Notamacropus eugenii: one gene and its partners. The protein of the gene in region 1 purifies or fractionates together with the protein of each later gene. This does not show direct contact. Links are inferred from orthologs where the notes say so. Each region holds a gene or a part of one and is shown in the gene's direction. Other genes may lie near its edges.

The links. Proteins that work in one complex are often made in the same cells at the same time.
Region 2: the proteins of UTP4 (region 1) and WDR43 purify together in Homo sapiens (co-immunoprecipitation; 5 studies listed by BioGRID and IntAct, counting the BioPlex papers as one, with this or other methods). This does not show direct contact. The link is inferred for Notamacropus eugenii from reciprocal best matches to the Homo sapiens genes UTP4 and WDR43.
Region 3: the proteins of UTP4 (region 1) and WDR75 purify together in Homo sapiens (co-immunoprecipitation; 3 studies listed by BioGRID and IntAct, counting the BioPlex papers as one, with this or other methods). This does not show direct contact. The link is inferred for Notamacropus eugenii from reciprocal best matches to the Homo sapiens genes UTP4 and WDR75.

What each region holds. Positions count from the first base shown.
Region 1 is NC_092872.1:708,525,427-708,533,311, forward strand, and holds the start of UTP4 (U3 small nucleolar RNA-associated protein 4 homolog), read left to right. Parts: upstream 1-4,870; 5' UTR 4,871-4,953; coding exon 4,954-4,972; intron 4,973-5,181; coding exon 5,182-5,342; intron 5,343-7,885. UniProt on the Homo sapiens protein: Ribosome biogenesis factor. Involved in nucleolar processing of pre-18S ribosomal RNA. Part of the small subunit (SSU) processome, first precursor of the small eukaryotic ribosomal subunit.
Region 2 is NC_092872.1:530,597,029-530,603,995, forward strand, and holds the start of WDR43 (WD repeat-containing protein 43), read left to right. Parts: upstream 1-3,922; 5' UTR 3,923-4,008; coding exon 4,009-4,233; intron 4,234-6,967. UniProt on the Homo sapiens protein: Ribosome biogenesis factor that coordinates hyperactive transcription and ribogenesis. Part of the small subunit (SSU) processome, first precursor of the small eukaryotic ribosomal subunit.
Region 3 is NC_092876.1:256,516,143-256,523,585, forward strand, and holds the start of WDR75 (WD repeat-containing protein 75), read left to right. Parts: upstream 1-4,398; 5' UTR 4,399-4,712; coding exon 4,713-4,798; intron 4,799-7,443. UniProt on the Homo sapiens protein: Ribosome biogenesis factor. Part of the small subunit (SSU) processome, first precursor of the small eukaryotic ribosomal subunit.

The sequences.
Region 1 (7,885 bases):
ACAAATCTGTTATCATAAAACTGTACGTTGTCTATTTCCTCCCTTGCTTCTTGATATCTATTCTTACTTCAGGTACCTAAATATTTTACTCTTTAGGGTTTGGGTAGGCCCAAAGTTTATGACTCATTGAATATAGTGTTTGGAGTACGATGAGGGGAGGTCTGAAGAACAGAAGGAGTCCAATTTGTGCCTCTAGAAAGCAGGATTAAGGGGAATGTAATATTAAGACATATCTGCTGTGAAAGAAAAAGGCAGAGAATTGGGTATAGGTCAACTCTTGTTAAAATAAAAGCCAACATTCACAATGAAAACTGACTGGCAAAAAGATTTCTAAGCCCCAGACTACTTATATTTCAAACATTACTCAATGTGAAAAAATTAACTGAGACTGGCCTTTGAAACTCATAAAATCTGATCTATACAGAAATGTATGTGTGATAGCAGTAAGGTGACAAAATTTCACAGGTAGACTTTGATGCACTAATTATACAGCTCCATTAAGTTATGCAACTGAATTAAAAGCAGGTCAGTGGAAGTGCTCCTCAAATCCACTTCAATCAGTTTTTCTCTACGAGGCAACTAGAAAGCATAAATCTAATGCCATTAGAAGTAGCAATTCCATTCTGGTGAGACTATGCTTAGTTTTAACTCTGAGCCAGCTACAAAAACATTCAAATCCACAGAAATAATTCAGCTCTAGGAAGATGAAAGTATACTGAGTAACACAAGATAGTTTAAAAAACCACTATTTTTTAAAAGAAAAAGAAGAAAAGGTTTTAGGCTTTAGGTAAGATTAATGACCATGAATTTATACTTTGGGAAACATGATATTTTTGATTTCTCTGTAACTATTTACTTCTGGTATTTAAAATTTCAATATGCTTTATAAACACTAACTTCATTCTCATATTATTTATTCATGGACCATTTATTCAGCACCTAAGGCACTACAAGGGAAACAAGGTACAAGGCTAGATGCTGTGGGAGGGGGCAAAAAAAATCTTCAAGAATGTGGCTTTAAGGAATTCATGTCAAAGTAAAATAAACTGATTTGTACAAAGACACCAAAGCAGTTACTGTATCTGTCAGGTGGCCAGGGAAAAAAATTCTATACCATATTTCATATAATTATAATTTCAAATACTGTGAATTTGAATACATGCCATTGCTTCAGGAGATTCTTTGCCACAATCAGGACCTAGCTCTATTTGTTTTTCTTGGTTGTTAAAATGTTCAACTCTTCTTGGTACATTAAATCCTGGAAAATTGTGTATTCCATTTGAAAAACCTCAGGAAGGCAGCTGTCACAGAAAATGGTTCCATATTTACATGTTCCCAGAAATTAAAGCATTCAATCTACAATGCATGCTTCTGTTGCTTTGGACAAGGTGGACTTAAATAATGAATTGGCTGGGAGCCCACTTTACAGGTTAGCTTTGATTTTAGTGAGGTCCCTCAATCTCTCTCAATTTCAGACTCCTAATTTTTAAAATGAGAACACTAATAAAATGAACCTCATGTCAATGAGTTCATCAAGAATAACAAGCACTTAAAGTTACTTCTTAAGAGTGCCCTGGAGGAAAAGGTGCTATACACAAAGCCTAAAGGACAAGTTACTTAATACCTAGCCAAAAAGGTTCTATGTAATTAAAACAGCCAAAATTTTCAAAAAAGAATGCTTAGTGGATATTTTGCTTAATTACTGAAATGATAATCCTTCATTCATTTTGTGATTTTAGGCATCCCTTTCCCTAAGACCAACTTTAAATTTCAATTATTTGTAGTCCATTTTTTTCAACTCTTTCCAAAGGTTTCCCTACAAAATTCATGATACAAAATTTTGCTTTAGAACATCTATCTTGCAAAAACAAGCTCCAATTTTATAGTTCAGAAAGCACCGACTGAACACAATTTATGTTGGCTCCATATTGAACTGTTACTTGAAGGACCAGATGAATTGCTTTCTCTGTACTTCGCCACAAACTTGCTTAAAATAATAACTAACATTTAAGTAGTGCTTACTATGTGCAAAATACTGCCCAAAGCGCTTTCTTTACCATTATTTCACTTGAATCGCCTGAAGAATGCTGGATTTAGAGGTCTGGATCATACCTCAACAACTTTCTAACCAAGTGACCTTGGGCAAATTACTTAACTTGGTGGGAGGGGGCTGTTTCAGTTTCTTGGGCAGGAAAAAGTTAAACTAGATGGTCTCCCAGGAATTGAAACTTGGATTACCACCAGACTGCTTCACGGAATATTCGGATAACTTTTACGCTAAATACTATGCACTTTTCCCATGTGCTTTCCTCCAAACAACGAACAACTAACGTGGTTTTACACGAGATGAGATCTTTTTATTAAGCAGTGTTTTCGTGACTGTTGGGCTTGTGTGGGAGTTATCCAGCTGCTGGCTGGGCCGGCTGCCCCTGCCCCCTGGGATGAGATGTACGTGGGGGGGGAATGTTTCGTTACTTTTCGTGAGGAAGGGGCGGCGTGTGGACCCCGCGCACATGTGACTTTCACAGCGCACTGGAGGAACAGTCAGGATCCCGCTCCTCCACGGGACCGACTCCCGGGCCCGGCTTCGCTCCAGGTGTCCGAACCCTCCCCTCCGCCAACGCCGCGCCCCTGCCCCGGGTGCTCCCTCCCAGCACTTCCAGCCCTCCCCCCTCCATCTCCGATACCTGCCCCGGGCCTCCCCCCGCTTCCCGCAGCCAGCCCCCGCCCCAGGCTCCTCCCCTTTCCTTCCTCTTCCTGGGATCCCTCCAAATGGTCCCCTCGCACTTCCTGGATCCCCTCTCCATCCACGTTCCCGGTCCCTTCCCCGCCGAGCCATTCCCCCCCAACGCACTAATCCTGCCACGACCCACGTGGCTCCCAGGCCAGGCCCGCGCCGGGCCGGGCCCCCTCGGTCCCCTCCGTGCACAGCCCCGGCCCGGCCCGGCCCTGTGGGGCCGCCGCCGCCTCCCAGCCGCAGGTCGCTGCCCGCTGCGCTCGCCCCCGCCCGCGCTCGCTCCCGCGCCTCAGCCCCGGCCCCTCCCGCCATTCTTCCCGCGCCGCCCTCCCTCCCGGGCCGCCGGCTCCCTGCTCCTCGTCCTCCCGCCGCCGCGCCTGCCGAAGCCCCGGCCCTCGCCCCCCGGGCCCCTTCCGCTCCCCCTCCCGCACGCCCCGCCCGGGGCCTGACCTGCAATGGCGGCCGCCGAACGCGGCGCCTCGCGGCCAACGGGCGACAACCGAACCTCCCGCCGCCACCGTCCGCCGCCGCTAACACTGTCTGCGCACTTCCGGCTCCGTGGGGCCAGCGACTGCTTCCGGGGTCAAAGCGCGCGCACGTGGTGCGAGGTCGAGGCCGGGTGGGGAGGGGAGCGCGAGTCGCAGGGGAAGCTGGACCAGAGGCCGGAGGTCGGAGGCCGGCGAAGGTGAGTGTGGCGATGGGGGGAGGGAAGCGACCCTTGCCTCGTGGTGGGAGGGCCCTCCCTCCGCGGTAGCCGGCCACTCCAAATCACCTGGGGGGGCGGCGGGAGGCCCCTCGGCCCGTGGCCCTTTTACCACGCCTTTTGGTAACATCTGGTTCTCGGCGCCCGCCTAGCAGGCATACAGGAGGCGCCTACTAAGGGGTTGCCAGTTTATGGTAATAGCTCTCAGTGCCCCGTGAAACTGAAGTCCTAAGATCTGCAGAAGCGCTTTGCGTTCTCCTGGCATCCCCGGGAGCGAGGGGCTGCCCCACCCCGCCTTTTACAGATCGCCCGGGGTCACCCCCCCTCCCCCGACCAGCCCTGCGTCCAGGGAGCCCCCGACCCGCATCCCCAGCTGCGTAGGATTCGGGCAGGATTCTAAGGACCATCCAGTGCATCTCCTTCATTTGACAGCGGGGGAAATTGAGAGTCAGAGAATCCGGGGAATGGTCTTTTCTGAAGTCTTTTTCCCCCCACCTAGACCACTATCCCTTCTATTAGACTGTGAGCCCCTTACCCCCTCCCCCCCGCATGATACCCATCCTTGAATTTAGAGCTGAAAGGTACTCCTATCCATGAACAAAGGCCAGTCTTCGTCTTTGTATCTCTCCCAGAGACCGCAGGATGCCTCATCGATTGTTACTTTTGTTGACGTTGTTACATTGTTACTTTTACAGATGTGTATTCAGTTGACAAGAATGGGAGGGGAGTCCTTGCCGAATATAACCGATAGAATGTAAGGTTGGGATCTGTCCTGTGGAGCTTAGTGCGGAATTCATGGGACGCCCTAATAAATGTTTGTGGAAATAGGATTTGAAGTGTCCCTCGGACCTCTCCCAGACCCTGAGCGCGAAGAGTAATGCTGGTAGCATTGTCTCCATTTTCAGATGAGGAAATTAAAACTCAGGACTAAAAGTGACTTTGCCTCTGGTGTCAGGGGCAGGACTTGAATCTGGGTCTCCATTCCCTAGTGCATTACTTTGTACATTTGATTTCTTTGACCTCCTCCATCCCTTACCACTGAGGGATAACCTATGGTAGGGGATGAAGAGTTCCACCCTCCTAGCCATGCTATTTTGGGCATTTCATCTCTGACCCTTTGTTTCCTTATCTTTCAATTGGGTACAAACCTGGAATGCTCTGTCTCCTCACCTTTCCTTCATGAAATGCCCAGTTTCCTACAGGAGGCCTGTCCTCATTTCCCCCCTTCCCCACTTTGTATTCACTTTGTAAGTCTGATATATTATTTTTCTACGCTCATGTTGCACCCCTGGTCTCCCCCTGTCCTTTTCTGAATTATCCTGTCCTAGTTTAATGTAAGCCACTTGGTACATGGCATAGTCCCTGGCACGTAGTAGGTGATTTATAATTGCTTGCTGAATGAATCTTCTGTTTTGTCTTTCTTTCAGACCAAGATGAGATTCTTGAAACGATTTATTAGTTGTTGGTCATTAAGCATTTTTAATAATTGCCTACTGTGTGCTGGGTACTATGCATGGGAGATACAAAGAAAGGTAAATGACTGCCCCTGCTCTCAAGGAGCTATACAATATGTAGGGTGTAACATTACCAGGTAAATGTTCAAAAATAATTCCCCTTCACCCCCAGTGAGGAGGCCCAAATAAACAAAGTAAAGGCTGCTTTTGATTCCTCCATTGAACAGTTGCACAGGACATATCCCTTGGAGTAGGTGCTTAATAATAAGTTACATTTCCGTCTGCAGGAATGGGTGAATTTAAGGTTCATCGAGTGCGTTTCTTCAACTATGTTCCCGTGGGGATCCGATGTGTGGCATACAATCACCAATCCAACCGGTTGGCTGTCTCTCGATTGGACGGCTCAGTCGAGATCTACAATCTGGCAGCCAACAGCTTTCAGGAAAAGGTCAGTCTGCTGTGGGTCTCTGGAGTCATCTGGACTGACAACATCCTTTTATGGATGGGGGTCCTCACATGGAGGAGGGAGCAAAGCCATCTAAACTGAACCACTTCTTCTCCCCTTGCCCCTCTCACATCTTTCTGACTTTGTCCCCCATCACATCCTCCCTCATTCATTCCACAGTCTTAAGGATGTAAGGGTTGGTCCTTCTGCCTGCTGAGGATAATCCTATTCCATATACAATTGATACCATTCATAGCATTGTGCACATCCTCTCTTATTTTCAGTCTCTCCCTGGAATCTCTTGGTTGCTTCCCTGATACTTACAAACACTGCCCCCTCTCCCCTATCCTTTTAAGCCTTCATTTGATCCTATCAGATCCTCCCACCATCATCCTAGATTTTCTTCTCCTTCTCAGCTTAACTCCTTGGGGAGGAAAATACCTGGTCACTGTTTCTAATTCTTATCCACACTCTTCTGAAATCTCTGCAGTATAGTTACTGGTACTGAAACTGCTCTCCTCAGTTACCAGTGATCTGCTCATTGATTAATTGTCAAATCCAGTGACCTCTTCTTGATCCTTTTACTTGACTTCTGTTTCATGTGACTGGGTTTTGTTACCCTCTTCTCTCTTGGCTGTCCTTCACTCATGGCATGCCCACCAGATCTAAATGTTCCCCCAAGGTGCTGTCTTACGTCTCTTCTCTCTTTAACCTGTTGTTTAGTGATCCTCCCAATGGGTTCAGTGAGCAGTGCTGGACTTGGAGTCAGAAAAAGCTGAGTCAAAATTCTGCTTAAGATACTTACCATCTTTGTGGCATTATGCAAATCAGGTAACCTCTGTCTTCCTCATTTCTTCATCTGTGAACTGGAATAAGAAAAAAACCATCTCCCCCATTTATTGTGAGGAGCAAGAGAACATGCGTAAAGTGCTTTGAGATCCTTGAAGTGGCTAGCAATCATTATCATTATTATTTCTCTTATACATATGATTCCCAGCTCTTTTTCCAGCCTTGGTTCCTCTCCTGATCTCCAGTCCTACATCACCAACTCCCTTTTGGACATTTTGAACTTAATGTCCCAGTGGGCATCTCAAAATAATCATGTCCAAAAGAAAACTCATTATATTCCCTCTCAAACTTTCTTCTTTTCTGAATTATCTCATGATTGTAGAGGCACCATCATCTTTCCGATCACTCGCCTTCCCTCTCTCTCATTTGCTTTTCATCCCAACCAGTTGTTAGATCTTTCCTCCATAACACTCTTGCATGTGGCTCCACCCTCATTGCCTCTCAGTAGCTTTTTCCTTGGTTTCCCCACCTCAGGGCTCTCCCCACCTCAGGGCTCTCCGCACCCCAGTCCATTAGTTGTCAGAGTTCTTTTCCTAACACAGATCTCTGACTGTGCCACCCTTTGGCTCTCTCTTACTCTTAGGATCAACTATAAATTTTTCTTTTTGGGGCCTCAGGCTTTTTACAGCATATTCCCTTCCTTCCTCAACCAGTTTCTCACCATCTGCTCCCCTCTGATACTGTCCTATTCAGCCATACCAGCCTACTAGATAGTTCTTAAAAGGGACACTCTGTGTCCGTGCCTTTGTGGCTGGCTATTCCAAAAGTGCTCTCCTTCCCAACGACATATTCTCAGAATCCCTGGCTTCATTTAAAACTGATAAAATATACTTTATTTTTTGGGGGGAGGGGAGAGTTGTCTGTGTTTTCTTTCACAACATGACTTAATGTGGAAATATGTTTAGCATGACTGCACATTTATAACATATCAAATAGTTTGCCTTCTTCTCTAGTTGGTGGGGAGGAAGTCTAGAACTTAAAAATTTGAAAAAAAACACATTAGAAATTGTTTTCACATGTAATTGGGGAAAAAGAAAATATTTTTTAGAAAGATTGGTAAAACACCTCCCTGTCTAGCAGGTCTTTGCTGGTCTGTCCTTCCAGACCTTTGCCATTCCCCAGTCTTCTGACTTCCATCTGCCTTGGCTACTTTCTCTGCATTTACCCATTTATTTTTATATAGTTACCCCCATTAGGATGTAAGCTCCTTGAGGACAAGGACTGTTTTTGCTCTTTCTTTGCATCCTTAATGCTGAGCACAGTGTCTAGTACGTATTAAAGAACATCATAAAAGCTTGCTGACTTATTGTTTGACTGATGGATCACCTTTAATTTTCTTTCCTGCCTAAGCCAGCAGCACCCATAAAGGAGTATTCAGGACTTGTAAAAGTGACTGATCTCTTTCCTGGTGGAAAGAGGAAGGAGCTGACTGGCAGAAGAGCTGTACTGGACAAGTCACTTAATCTCCTATTTGTGTCTCAGTCTCCCCTAAAGAAAAATAGAAAATATACCTGTCTCCTACTGTGCATCTAAGGGTGTGAGAATAAAACAAGATAGCGAGGAACCCCTTTTGAGGTTTTAGTAAGATGCTATTTAAATCACTGATTTGCCTTAAACCTATGACCCAGACATTCAAATGAATTGTCCTAATTTCTAGTCTCTCAAACCAACCCCAAGTATTTATTAATTATTTTTGG
Region 2 (6,967 bases), about 180 Mb from region 1:
CTACATATTTGTGTGAGGCCCAATTTTATTCATCAATAACAATACATCACAATAAAATGAATGAATTCAGAACCAGATATAAGAATCCAGTTTTCTTCTATTAAGCCAGACATTCAATTTTTAAAAATAATGCCACTCAATAATTTTTTTTCATTTTGTAATATATAGTTATTTTATATTAAGTTATTCATCGAAGATAATGGGGTTTGTAAATAAAATTTTAAAAGTTTGTCAGTTTTAATTTCTATTATGTTAAATGTCAGTAGATATAAAACATAAACAAAAGTTCTTTGGAATCCTAAACAATTTTTAACAGAGTAAAGGAATCCTGAGATCAAAAGTTTGCAAACCACTGATCAAGAGTTTTCATGCCATGTATAGTATCTTTTTAAACTTGTTCCACTTCTTCTAAGAAATTTAATGGACATTATTGCCAAGTAATTCTGGGAGGCTTTACTTGTATAAATGTCATACAATTATTGTGTTCTTTGTTGTTTGTGTATTAGACATTCTTGGATCCATATTATTTCTTTATAGCTAGTAGGTTCTTTTGTTAACTCATTTTTCCAGCCTTGCTTCCCAAGTTAGAATTTCATGTCCAGGTCAGACTATGCATTTCTGGAGTAAATGGTAGGACCTTGTTTTTGACTAATATATTTTATCTAGGGTCCTAGAAGGCTTCTGTCCTAGTTTCCCTGAGTAAGCCCCCTTCCCTCAAGCCTCAGGCTATCTCTCTGTATCAACTTGGGCTGGAAAAAGCATTTGGTGCTATTTTTTTTTTATTTCTTGATCATTCCTTTATTGGGTGCTCTTCCTCAATTTTTACTGGATTAGTTGTTCTGGACAGCTGAGCTGTAATACTTCCTCTATATCCACCATCTTTTCTGGTTTCATCCATTGCTTTTTCTATTACATCAGTTCAACTCTCATCTGTTGCAAACCAAACCTTGTTGATTCTGCACATTATAGTTCCAGATTGTCTTGGGGATCCACACATTTTTCAAATTATTGTGAATTTCTGAAAGACCATCCTTTTTTCTTCAAAAAGTATACTTAATTATGGTAGGTAGCTGATTTCAGGATAAATATCTTATTCTATTATACTTCAACTTTCTATGTCTTTTCTTATTTTTATAGAAAAATATTGTGCAATTCAAATTGCTACTTCCTGTTGAGTGGGATAGGTTTAGTGAAGACTTCTCAGATTGTAATTTTTCTCCTAGGGGTGAGGTAAGACTGAGAGGCTCAAGGTTACTATATTTTTAGAACAGAATAATTCCATATAAGGATATAAAACTATGTAGTACATTAGGGTCTCAATGATTGGATAAAGTTTACCTAATTCTTCAATGTCTTCATTTCAAAAGGGATTGGTTAGATTTCGTGTCTAGAATGTAAGATCATATTCTCAGCTAATGAGGATAATGGTCAGTGGGGGGGGAGGGACTTGCGTTAGAGTCTATATAAATCGCTGCCTTTTCTTTGTCTTCGGCTTTCGTACTCCTACAGGTGAGCCCCGCTTATCGAGAATCGAATAAATCTCTTTTCTGTCATCACTTTGAGAGGTCTCTGGGTAATTGATTTATGTAGGGACCTGAGCCATCCCACACACTGTTATGTGATGCTTTTATCTTGACAGCTTGTAAAACCATCTTGTGAATGTAATCTTGAAGTTTGAAATTCATGTGACTAAGTGAATTTAATTTGAGCTTCATCCTTGTTGTTCCTCTACTCTGTCAAATCACAATAGATCCATTTTTTACTTTCTAGGGAAAAAAAATCCCAATTTATTTCCTGATGAGGAGGGAGAAAATTCCAGGAGAAAGTCATAGCCAGTGAAAATGCATAGAGTGAAGTGTCATGTGTGAATAACAGAAAGTAGGCTAATATAAGTGGGTCATTTAGTGAAGGGAGGGAAATAAGGTATAAGAAGACCAGAAAGGTAGGATGGACCACATTATGAAGAACTTTAAGCTATAGAGATGTCAAGGAGTATGAGGACTGAATAAAAGCCATTGGATTTGGCAATTAGGAGGTCATTTTGAAAGAGCAGTTTCATTAGAATTCTGGGAGAAGAAACTTGATTGAAAGGAGATAGTAGTGAGGACAGGTAAACATTAGGTATAGACAGTTGTTTCAAGAATTTTAGTAGTAGAGCAGTAAAGAGTTGGAGTGGTACTTAAATGGACTAGAAGGGTCAAGGGAAGGCTTTTCAGGATTGGGGAAACCTGAGCATATTTTTGGGAAGATGGGAAGTTCACTAGAAAGAGACTAAGGGTGTACTAGAGGATAGGAAAGAGTTTCTACTGTGTTACCCAATTATTCCTCCTTCCACTTCTCCTTCCTCCTCCCTCCACCCACCAAAAAAGAATATGTTCTCTGTTACTGAGGGAAATTTGAATAATTCCACCTAGTTGCCTATTTAGTATTTAAGAGAAAATTACAGAGAAATTGGGGGTACTATCAACACCAAAGAATGTTCCCAGCAGCCCAGAGGGTTTTGGCCATATCCAAGAAAAATATCTGGTGATGTTCTGGTGGGGAAACCACAAGCACGAACCACTGTGGAGGATAATTACTGACCCTGCATAACTGCAGGGGGATTCACACTTGGCAGAACCTGGATCTTTGGGAGAGGGTAGCTTATTGAAAGGTGTCTATCTGTTTTATAAGCGTATGAGGTTCAATTTCATTTTCTTTAATTTTTCAGTATAACTTTCCTTCTTTAATTTTCTTAAATGTATGCTTGCAAGAAGAAGGTATTAATATCTGAGATGACCTCTCATCTCAGAAGTGACTTTATCCACAGTTTAATCCAATCTTACATTTTACTTCTAAAGAAACTGAACCTTACAGCAGTGAAGTGATTTGGAAGTCACACATCAAATAGCGGAACAGGGACTTAAACCCAGGAATACTCTGATTCCAAATGAAACTTTTTTTTGCATTGCATCATAAGGATTACATTTGAATGAACCCGTGATTGAAAATTGCCTGTGTAGATAGGCTATTTGATAGAATTCCTTGAGAACAATGATTCTGTGTTTTTTGTATTTATATCTTCAGTGCCTAGCACACTGCTGGGCACCTAGCAGGTACTAAATAAATCCTTTTTTATTTATTTATTGACTGGCAAACTTCAAAATGTCACAGGTGTGTAAACTTCATGACCAAATTTGACCCCAAAGAAGAAATGAGACAGCAGCCCCTTCTTTGCAGAGGTGGAAGACTAGGTCAATTAATCAATGAATCCATTCATCCATCAGTCAATAACATTAATTGACTATTTTGTTAAGGTCTGGGGATACAAAAAGAGGTACAAGACAGTCTTCTGCCCTCAAAGAACTTACAGTTTAATGGAGGAAACGACACGTAAACCAATATACACAAAGCAAGCTATAAATAGGAAATGACTACTAGAGGGAATGCACTGGAACTGAGGGGCTAGGGGAAGGCTTCCAGTAAAAGACGGGATTTTGGATAGGACTTAAAGGAAGCCAGGGAGGTCAGCTGTTTCTCTAAAAGGCTTTCTAAAAAAATCCTTTGTCTCTAAGTGGAAAGAAAATATGTGTAAAAAGAAAATATATCAATTTAAGAAAAGCTACAGGCGTGCAAAATCTTCCTACTATGTCCTACAGGTTACAAGCCCAGGATTGGACATAAGGAAACACAGGAGAAAAATCTGTCTGCAGTTGGAGGATTTGGGTTCAAATTCCTTTTCCACACAATTCTGTGGCTTTGAGCAGGAGACCCCCTCTCTGGACCTCAGTTCGTTATAAGAAAAAAAGGAGGGGGGGTGAAAGCTTTAGCTTTTCCAAGCACCTCCCAATTGAAAGTCGATATACCTGAAGTAGTGCGGGCCGCCGCGCGCAGGCGCCCTGAGCGACGACGAAGCCCCGCCCCTTCACCCCGGTCCAGTCTGGGCCAGCTTCCTTTCCATACACCCCGCCCAAGTCGGCTGCGCAGGCGCGCGGCCGAACACGTGGCTGCTGCGGGGCCAGAAGAGCAATGGCGGCGAGTGGCGGAGGCCGCCGCGACCCCCTGGCCCACTCCGGGATTCCCTGTGCTTTTTCTCCTCGGGGCCAGCACTACTTCTCATTAGCTGGTCCGGATGGTCACCTGCGGGTGTGGGAGACAGCCAGCAGCCGCCTTCACCAGGACTTTGTTCCTTCCGCTCACCTCAGCGCCACCTGCACCTGCCTGGCTTGGGCCCCGCCGCGGTCGCTGGCCAAGGTAAAGCTAGAGGCGCGGGAGCAGAGCTGGGAGGGGGTGGACGCGCGGAACCGGGTGGGGGGGGGAAGGGGCGCGAGGCCCACCCTCGGCGGGCTGTGCGCGGCGGGGTGCGCGGTCCTGGCGGGGGCCGGCAGCCGCAGGAAGAAGCGGGGCCTGCCGTGGAGCAGAGCCTGCCCGCCCGCCCGCCTGGCCCGGAGGAGCTCCGGAGCGGGCCCGCCCGCCTGCTGCCGCTCTGTCTTCGCGGGCTGCTCGCCACTCTCCGCGGCCCGTACTTATTTCCAGCCACGCGTCTCGCTCTGGCCGCGGAGTCCGGCTCCCCTCCCCCGGCGTGCTTTGCCCGGACACATCGCAGCAGATGGACCAGAGCTCCCGGGCACTCCTAGCTAACCACCCAGCCTCCGCACTCCCGCTCTCCCTCCAATCCATCGCACCCGCTTTACCCGCTCTTTATTCCTGTCACCCATCACCCGGGCTCCGGCCTCCTGCTCCCACCACGTTGGAAACACGCTGCACGCCCCTCCCCCACACGCATTCAGGCTCTCGCTTTGGGTTTCCCCTTCTGCTAATCCGTTTGTAGTTTTCCTGTCTGTTCTGTTAAATAAGGAGTAAATTAAATGTAAACCAGGGAGTGGGAGAGGGGACCTTCTGGCCTTATCCGGAAGAACGGGGAGGAAAAGATCCCAAATCTACCTCTGCTGTGAAAGGCCCAATTCAGGTAGGAGATACCATTTGGTGGTGTTTGAGTCATCTGGCTGCATCTGTTAAACCCACGTGGTGCATAATGGGTACAGTAAGACCGAACTATTAAAGTATTTTTGAGAGGTTATGACTTTTGTTACAACTTAGAGTTAACCAAGTCAAAGCATTTTTCTTAAGATCCTGCTATATGATAGGAACACAAAAACACCCTTTAGCCTCTAAGCTGCTTGTTACAGTGGGAAACATTGCCTCTGAAGTCAGAGGACCTGGGCTTAAATCTGACAGTTAGATGATCTTTGGCAAGCCACTTTATTTGCCCCTTCTGCCTCACAGTTCCCTCTTTTGTAAAAAAGGGAGTAGGGATGAGATGGCCTCTCAGATTTTCTGTAGATAGGTGATCCCTTCCCTCCATGAGGTGACATTTTCCTGGGAATGGGGAGAGACTGTGCAAAGAAAATCTTTAAGGCAAAATTCAATGAAGAACTGGAAAGATCATAGAAGGCATTACAGAAGAATGATTCCTGAGCTGAACTTTGAAGGAAATAAAAATTCTGAGGAGAGATGATGGGGGACTGTATTCCAGGCACATGGGGTGATTTATCTTTGGGTAGTGAGGCAGGGATGGAACATCAAGGTCCTTAAGTTCAGGAACAGTTGATAGTCCAGTTTGGCTGGAATGTAGAATTCTCGAAGAGGACTAGTTTGGCATAAGGCTGGACCAGTAGGATGAAGCTAGGTTGTTAAAGGCCTTAAATTATAAGCTGAGGAGTTTGCATTTTATCTCTTAGGCATTGGAACATCCATTGATGATTGTGATTTTGGCTAATATAATATAATCAGGCTAATATAATCAATATAACTTTGGCAGTTTTGTGGAGGATAAATTAGGAGTGAGATTAGAAATAAGGAGGCTAGTTAAGAGGCTGTTAAATATAGTAGCACAGGCAAGGAGTGATGAAGATTTGAACCAAGTTGGTAGCTGTCTTTAAGTGGAGAAGGGGACAGATTCCATACAAATTCTAGAGGTAGAATTGACTAAATTTGGCAACTTACTGAAAGGTGAGGAAGGGAATTGACAAAGTTTGGACTTCATAAGCCTGGATAAATGCCAGAGGAGATGGTGGTCCCCTCAGTAAATGTACAAATTTGGAGGACTGGTGGGTTTAGGAAGTGAGGTAATAATACCTATGAGGAAGGCAGGGAACACAGGTTATCCTTATTTTATAGAGCAGGATTAGTTATTTGTCCAGAGTCACCCAACTAGTGGCAAAGTTATTAGTATTGGAATGCCTTTTGGCATAAGAGTTGTCTTTTGAATGAAAGGTGTCAAAATCATAAGGTTTAAAACTGAGTCAGTTTATTGAAAAATGCTTTTAAAAATAAATACAGTATAACACAGATAATGTTAATTTGTGGTTTTCTAAGTCAGTGTATAGTGGCCAGCAAGGATCCAGTTCTGTTTGTTTGATGACATTTTATAGATAAGGAATAGAGGTAGCTCTGGCTTGCCAGTGTACATAGCTAGTATGTGGTGAATCCAGGATTTGAGTCCATATCTTCCTCTTAATCCAAATCCCCTTCTGTTATTTTGAGTTGAGAATGGTACAGGATGCCTAAATAGAAACTTTTTAAATTAGAAGAAAAGATACCAAGCAGATGAGGTAAGTGACTATAGTTTCCTCAGATTAAAAAAAAAAGTTACAGTATGCGGTTTATTTAGCTTCTCAGGGAAGTAGCTCCAGTTTTTTCTTTTAAAAGGAAACTCTTACTTTCTTACAGTAGCATTGAATTGGAATGTTATTTTTTCCACTAAGCTTAATGTTACATTCTTCTCATATACACATATATGATTAAAACAATTTTGTTGCTCTTCGATTCTTAACTGTACTATGTTTTTAGATTTTCTTTTCAATTCTGTGAGGGAGTAATATGGTCAATTCTCTGTTTAAAAACAACTATTTCATCTTGGTCTAATATTACCCATTTACCTAGCTTGACCCTTAGTTTTCCAATCTAGTCTTTGCCAGTTAGCGTG
Region 3 (7,443 bases), on another chromosome or scaffold:
TTCAGTTTCATATAATCAAAGTTTTATCTATTTTCTTCTGTAATTGCCTCTATTACTTGTTTGGTTAATTATAACTCTCCTACCCATAGCTCTCCTATTCACAGTTGTGTAATTTAATACATGGTATGTGATCTAAATTTTTGTAGCTCAATCCTTAATATTAAGGTCTACTTAAATTGTACTATAAAATATAACGTAAGGTATTGGTCAAAGCCCAATTACTTCCAGGTGACTTTCTAGTTTTCCCAGCAATTTTTATGAAATAGGGAGTTCTTTCCTAAATAACTATTTTCTGGTTTATTGAACTCTGGATTATTGAATTCCATTTTTTCTGATTTTTACCTTGTCACTGATCTATTTCTTTTTTAACCAATAGCAGATGACTTTGATAACTGCTCCTTTATAATATAGTTTGAGGTCTGCAAGTGCTATTTCTCCTTCATCCCTACCTCTTTTCATTGTTTCCTTTCATATTCTAGCTATTTTATTTTTGCAATTTTGTTCATCTTTTGTTGAGGTCTATAAAGTGTTCCTTTGGTAATATCATTCTTATAGCATGAAAAAATGTAAATTAACTTTGGTAGCACTGCCATTTTTATTTACATTGTCACAGCTGTCATGAACACCAAATATTTCTCAAATTAAGTTGCAGTTTTTTTGAAGGAGCATTTTGTAATTGAATATGTGTGCAAACATATGTATGTATATAAATGTACATAATTATTTTTGGATTTCTGTAAGTATTCCCTAAGTTTTTTGTGTGCTTTAGTAAATTAATTTCCAGATACTTTACACATTTTGTAGTTATTTGGAATTAGATTTCCCTATTAGAGATTCTTAAATCTTGTAATTAACTAGATTACAATGTTTATTTTTGTGCATTTCGTAGCCTACAACATCGCTGAAATTGTTTCCATCAGTATCTTTGTCAATTCTTTAGATTTCTAAGTAAATCATCCTATCAGCAAATTGTGATAGTTTCATCTCCTCTTTACCTGTTTTTAATACCTTTAATCTCTCTGTCATATTACTGTAACCAGCATTTCCACAGAACTATGTTTGGGAGAGTAGACATCTTTGATCGACTACCCTATTTATTGACAAAGGTATTAATGTAGCCATGTTTTATATTCTTGCTTTTAGTTTTAAATATTTTTATGCTACTAAAAAAGATCTTCCTAAACCTATAATTTTGGGAGTTTTTAATATGAGTGTTTTACTTTGTCAAAGCTTTTTTTTTTTTTCCTGTACCTACTGAGATAATCATGTCTGAGAATATTTTGTTTCCATTATGGTTATGTTGTTTTCCTAAAAACTGAATAATCCTTGCATCCTTGGCATAACTCTAACTTGGTCATAATGAATGATTTCTTGTCTATACTGCTACAATGTTTGGCTGCCAGGATGTCCTCTAAAATTTCTAAATTGACATTCCTTATTGATAGACCTATCATTCTCCTGTGCTTCATCCTGAGGTCCCATGACTGTATTTGTCTCATAACAGGAATGTGGTAGAGCGCTTTCCCAATTTTTGAGAATATGACGTATTGATACTAATTTACTAAAAGCATAATAGAATTTTCCTATGAATACATCAGGACCAGAGCGCCCCTCCCCCTTCTCCTTCCATAGTACTTTCACACCAGTTCCTTTTCAGTAATTGCGGTTTTTTAAAGCTATTTAGTCTTGTTACTAGTTTGGGTGTTTTATACTTTGAAAGCATTCCTCTACTTTTTTATGTTCTCAATTATTATAGCTGCATATAGTAGGTTCTAATTTTTATTTATTTCTCCTTTTTGATTTCACCTTGCTCATTTGCCATTTCATTGATGTGATATCCTGCACTCTTCTTTTTGATCAGAATGGCTAAAAGTTCATCAATTTTTACTCTTTTCAGAGAAGCAGATTAGGGTTTGTTTTCCATTTCCCTCAGTATTTGGGGTTTTCAGTTTATTTCTTACTTTCATTAACTCCTTTTTTGTATTTACTTTGTTTGCTTTCTAACTTTTAAAGTGTATATTCAATTCATTAATCCTCTTTTCTGTTTTATTAATGTGTATCTCTAGTTACAATTTTTAGCTGCATTCCAGAAATTTGGGTATGTTGCTTCATCAGTTTTCCCTTCATCAATAATCATTGCTTCTTTGTCCTTTGACTCATTCATTATTTAGGATTTCATTGTTAAATCTCCATTTTGGCCCACGTCTTTTGTTGTGCTCTCTAAACCAATGAGTATTTTTATTGCAACACGTTCTGCAAAGGGTGAGTTTACTAGTTGTTATTTCATATTTGCAATAGCTCCGTGCCCTAAAGCTAGGTCAGTTTCCTAAAAGTTCCATGAGATATTGAGAAATACTTATATTCTTTATCAATAGCACTTAGATGTCATAAATCTTTTAACTCTAGTTTCTCCGGAATTTTAGTTTTTGTATGTTCCCTTTTGTATTGTTTGACTTGGACAAAACTGAAAGGACACTGAAATCCCCTGCCACTATTACTGTCTATGTCTTCTTGTAGTCTGTTTCCTTTATTAATTCAGAAGCTAAAATACTTGTATGTAAGTTTAATATAGAAAGTAGTTTGTCTATGGGTCCTTTCAACAGTTTCCTTGATTTTACTTTGTTTGATAGCATGACTGAAACTACTTTTTTTATTCATCTAACCAAAAAAAAATCCATCCCCTTGTCTTTTTTCTGTTTATGTCCGGTTTTTTTTTTAATGTCTCCTGTAAGCAATAGATGGTGGGGTTATATTTTCTTATCCCATCTGTCGCTTTTTTTAAGAAGGTGAATTATTTAATCCCTTCACATGTGGTTAGTAATTAGGTTTATATTTCCCCCTCATTTGTCTCCGATTTTTTTTTCAAAATTAGAAGTCCTCCCCGACCCTTTGGTAAACACAACAAATACTTGTCTCCCAGTTACTTTAATCTATTTTACGGCAACCTCATTCCCACCAGCTTCCTTCCTCTCACCCTCAAGTCTCCTGACTCCCACATTTGTTATCTCATTCCCTAGTGCTGGAGTTTTCCTTCTTCTTTCTTTTTATCTAGTTACTTAATTTTCTGTCAAAGTTCCTCTCTCCCCTTCAATTTTGGTTAGTTTTTTTAAAACAAATACTTTTAGAAAATACTCTTTTACACAGTTATTCCTAGACTGATGGCCCTTCCTTACTCCTCCTCTAGTCTCTGTTCCTCTTGCAAGGCCTGCTTTGGGCTCCTCCTCCCAAGCAGCTTCCATGTTCTTGCCTTGCAGACCTTACTCCTGACCCCCCCTTTCCTGCTCCGTCCCACTTTGGAGATACCAAACCCTGACGGGGACGGAAGGCTCCGCGTGCCTGACCTCCGCCCTCCCCTTCCTCGGGGTGGCAGCTCCCCCGGGGCAGGACGCGTGGTCTCCGCGCCCCTCCGTGTCCGTTCTCCCACGGGGGCTGCGCGGCGGGGGCTCCGCGGCGGGGGCTGCGGTCTTTTCCCCTTTCCACCCTGCCTCCTCACCCATGCTCGGGGAGGCTCTCGCCTTCCACGGACACAGCGGCGGTCACTCCCACTGCACTGTGGGTCTGGCTTACATTTTTTTTTACAACGAGCCTAGAAGTGATCCTACCTTAAAGCCTACGTGAAGACGTTAGGCATCGTGGACAATGGGCTATTTAGAAAAAACCACCTCTGATGTCCCTGAGCTCAGAAAGCCTCGCGCCTCTCACTACCTGCTTTTACCAGGGTAGCTCCGTTGTCACGAGAAGCTTCTTCCTTGGCTAGAACCTCGTCCACTGCCGCAGTCGGTCACGCCGCGGGCATAGCCCGGAGGGGTCACCCACGCGGCCCTGCCTGCCTTTATTTACCCTAGTATACCGCGCAGGGCACGTCCCTAAGCAGCTCGCCCCGAGGCCCTCGTTACGAGATGCCCAAGGTGGCACGGCGCCTAACCTCAGACTCTTCTCCTCTACCTACGTATGAAATACAGAACAAAATTCTTCCCGCTTCTTTCGACTAGAATTATAAAAGCGCTAAATGGTCCCATGGAGCACGTTTTCTTACTCTTCCCCCAGCGCTGAAGACAGCCGTACAGGCGGTACCCCAAAGGGCATCAACGTGCAATTTTAAACCCCAAAGTCCGCCCAGGCAATCCTATCAGCCGAAACTGAACTTTTCTTTCGGAGGCTCAATGCATTCTTCCTCCTGAGGTTTTTTAATCCAAATTTCTTTGAAACAGAACAGAGCCCGGGGAAGGTCCCGGGGCCAGACTGGAGGGCATGCCGGAGCACAGGCAGACACGGAAATTTAAGGGAACAACCAAGCAGAAAAAAGGAAGACCCGGCTAAAGCCGTGCGCCACGAGACACGCGTTTGACCCCTGGCTACAACGTCATCAGGAAGCGCCGAGACAAGATTCACCAATGCGCTTTGGAGGGGGAGGAGCCGACGAGTGCCCACGGAATCGCCATTTTGACTACGGGCAGAAGAGACTTTCGAGGCTTATTTCTGAAGCCAAAATGAGGCGACGGTTTTTTGTATAAAACTGAACGTTTAGAGGATACTCTCTGCGTCAACTGTGGTCCATTCAGAGTCTCCCGCAGACGAACCATCGTTCAACTTATTACTTAACATGGACTCTTCCGCCTAACGCCACCGCTGCGTGTGCTCGTGAAGCCATAAAAGAACACAGAAGCCCCGCCCCAAGGTCGGAGGTCAGAGGCTCCAGCTCCGGGGCCAACATGGTGGCTGGGGAGAACCTTCGCGTGGTTCGCAGCGGGGGCAGCAAGTTGAACTTACGGAGAGCGGTGTTTTCGGCTGATTCCAAGTAAGGGATTCCTCGGGGGACGGGAGCAGCGGGGAGCGGCCACCGGCCGAGCTTTCCCTCGCGCGCGCCGCCGGAGGTGCCCGTGGGAGGGTCGAAGCGAGGGAGAGCAGAGGGGACCGCGACCGCGTACGTGCCCACGCGGGACACGCGATCGGGGCGAGAAGGCCGCGGACCCGGGGCAGGGGAATAGTTCCGGAGCGATCGCGATATTTCCCGGGCCTGCTCCCAGCGTGGGAAGCGCCGGGAGGTCCCGTGCCCACAGCGCCTGACGCGTGCCACCTCTATCTCCGCATACACACGCATGTACGCCGTGACACACGTGGAACACGCACCCCCCCTCCACATCTCCACTCTCGCTCTGTGACAAAGCCCCCACGCATGATTTCATAGTTCTTTATCATCCTCCTCTTAGAAGCCCTGGGATGCTACCTAGAACTTAGTACCAGGAGAAACCCCTGGGGGTGACAGCCTTCTCTGATGCTTGGTAACTGGGGGATGGAAGACAGGCCCTTTGATCGGCCAGGCTCACTGCCAAGCCCTGCGAATACAACAGCAGAATATATTGCAAAGCCCTGGGAGTGCAACTGTATGTAGAGATACAGATATAGATACGTATATATACATATGTGTGTATCTAGCTATATCTATGCATCTATATGTATCTATGTATACATATATACACATATATACATACATACACATATACATACATATATATACATATGCATATATTCTCATGCACACACATATTCTCTGCAGGTTTTGACTACTGACAGTCACCAATTCTCCTTGATACACTTCTCTCTCTATCTTCATCTATCTCCAGAAATTCATCCAGGACATGCCATCCAACAGTGAGTGTTCTATGTGACTCTATCATGGGCCCTCTTCCCTTCCGCCTTTATACTGCTAAACTTGGTGATCCCTGTGGTAATGATTTTCAGATCTACCTATCCAGCCATATCCTCTCAGCTGATTTCCAGTCTCCCATCTCCAGTTGTCTTTCAGACTTCTCAAAGCAGTTGTCCAGGAGACATCTCAAAATCAGTATGTCCAAAACAAAATTCACTGTGTTTTCCCCAACTCTTCCCCCTCCAAACTTCTCTGCTACTGGCCCCACCAACTTTCCAGTCCCCTAGGCTCACAACTTAGGAGTCCTGGATTCCTGGCTGCCTCTCATCCCCCCATAAACAATGTGTTGCCAAGACTTGTCAATTTCACTTTTAGAGCATCTCCCTTTTCTCCTCTGACACTGTCCACCACGCTGGTGCAGGCCCTTTTCACCTCACTTTTAAACTCTTGTAATAGCCTGGTGGTGGGTCGGCCTGCCTCAAGTCTCTCCCCGATCTAGCCCGTCCTCCATTCAGCTACCAGAATCATTTTCCTAAAGCACAGGTCTGTCCTTATCACCCTCTTCAATAAACTCCAGTGGCTCCCAGTTACCTCCAGGCTCAAATACAAAATCCTCTGTCGGACATTCAGAGTCCCTCATAACTAATGCTCCCACCCTATTTCTGCTCAACCTTTCTAATTGTCATATATCTTATTCCCCATTACATACTCTTCAATCCAGTGACTGTTTCATGAACAGGCCACTCCATCTCTTGGCCCCAGGCATTACTTCTGACTGTTCCCTATGCCTGTAATTCTCTCCTTCATCTCTACGTCCTGGCTTTCTTCAAGTCCTAACTAAAATTGAATGTTCTATAGGAAGTCCTTCCCAGTTTCTCTTAATTCTAATGTTAATTTTAGGGCCTTCCCTCTTTTATTTATTTCTTATTTATCCTGGTTATAATATGTTGGTTCGTATTTTTTGCTTGTGAGCTCCATGAGATTAGGGGACTATCATTTGCCTGTTTTTTAATCTAAAGCACTTGCACTGTGCCTAGCAAATAGTAGGTGCTTAATAAATGCTGCATTTACTGACTTCAGAATGTTAAAAACTTTCTTCAGTACTACCTTTAAAAAAAAAACAACTTGCTATCGTTTCCTTTTACATTATCATCATTTCCAAATATATTCTTCCTTCTTCCCTACCCAGCAAACCATCCCTAATAGCAACAACAAATCTTAAAGAAACTACCTAATACATAAAATGACTGTGACAGCATATGCAGTGTTCTGTACCCATAGTTCCCCACCTTTGCAAATGAGGGAGAAAATTCCATTTTCTCATTTCTTCTTTGAGGTCAAACTTGCTCATTATAATTGCATACCATTCAGTTTCATTTTGTTCTTCCACTTATATTGCTGTGGTTGTACATTTATACACACAGATAGTGTTCCTTCTTTTGCTTAATTTATTCTGCCATCAGTTCATATAAGTCACAAATATTCTGTATTCTTTATAATCATTTCTCATAGCACAGGAAATATTCCATTATTCTCTGGTACTACAGTCTGTCTAGCTTAGCCATTCCCTAGTCAGCAAAAATCTGCTCTGTTTCTAGTTCATTGCCACAACAACAAAAAAATGTGGCTGTGTATAGTTGAGGCCTTTATACTTTGACCTCCATGGACATAAACCTAGCATTAGAGTCTCTGTGTTTCTTAACATAATTCTAAATTGCTTTCAGGAATGGTTGGCAGCTTCACCAACAGTGTATCATTGTGCCATTCTTTTTCACAGTTCCTCTAAAATTAGC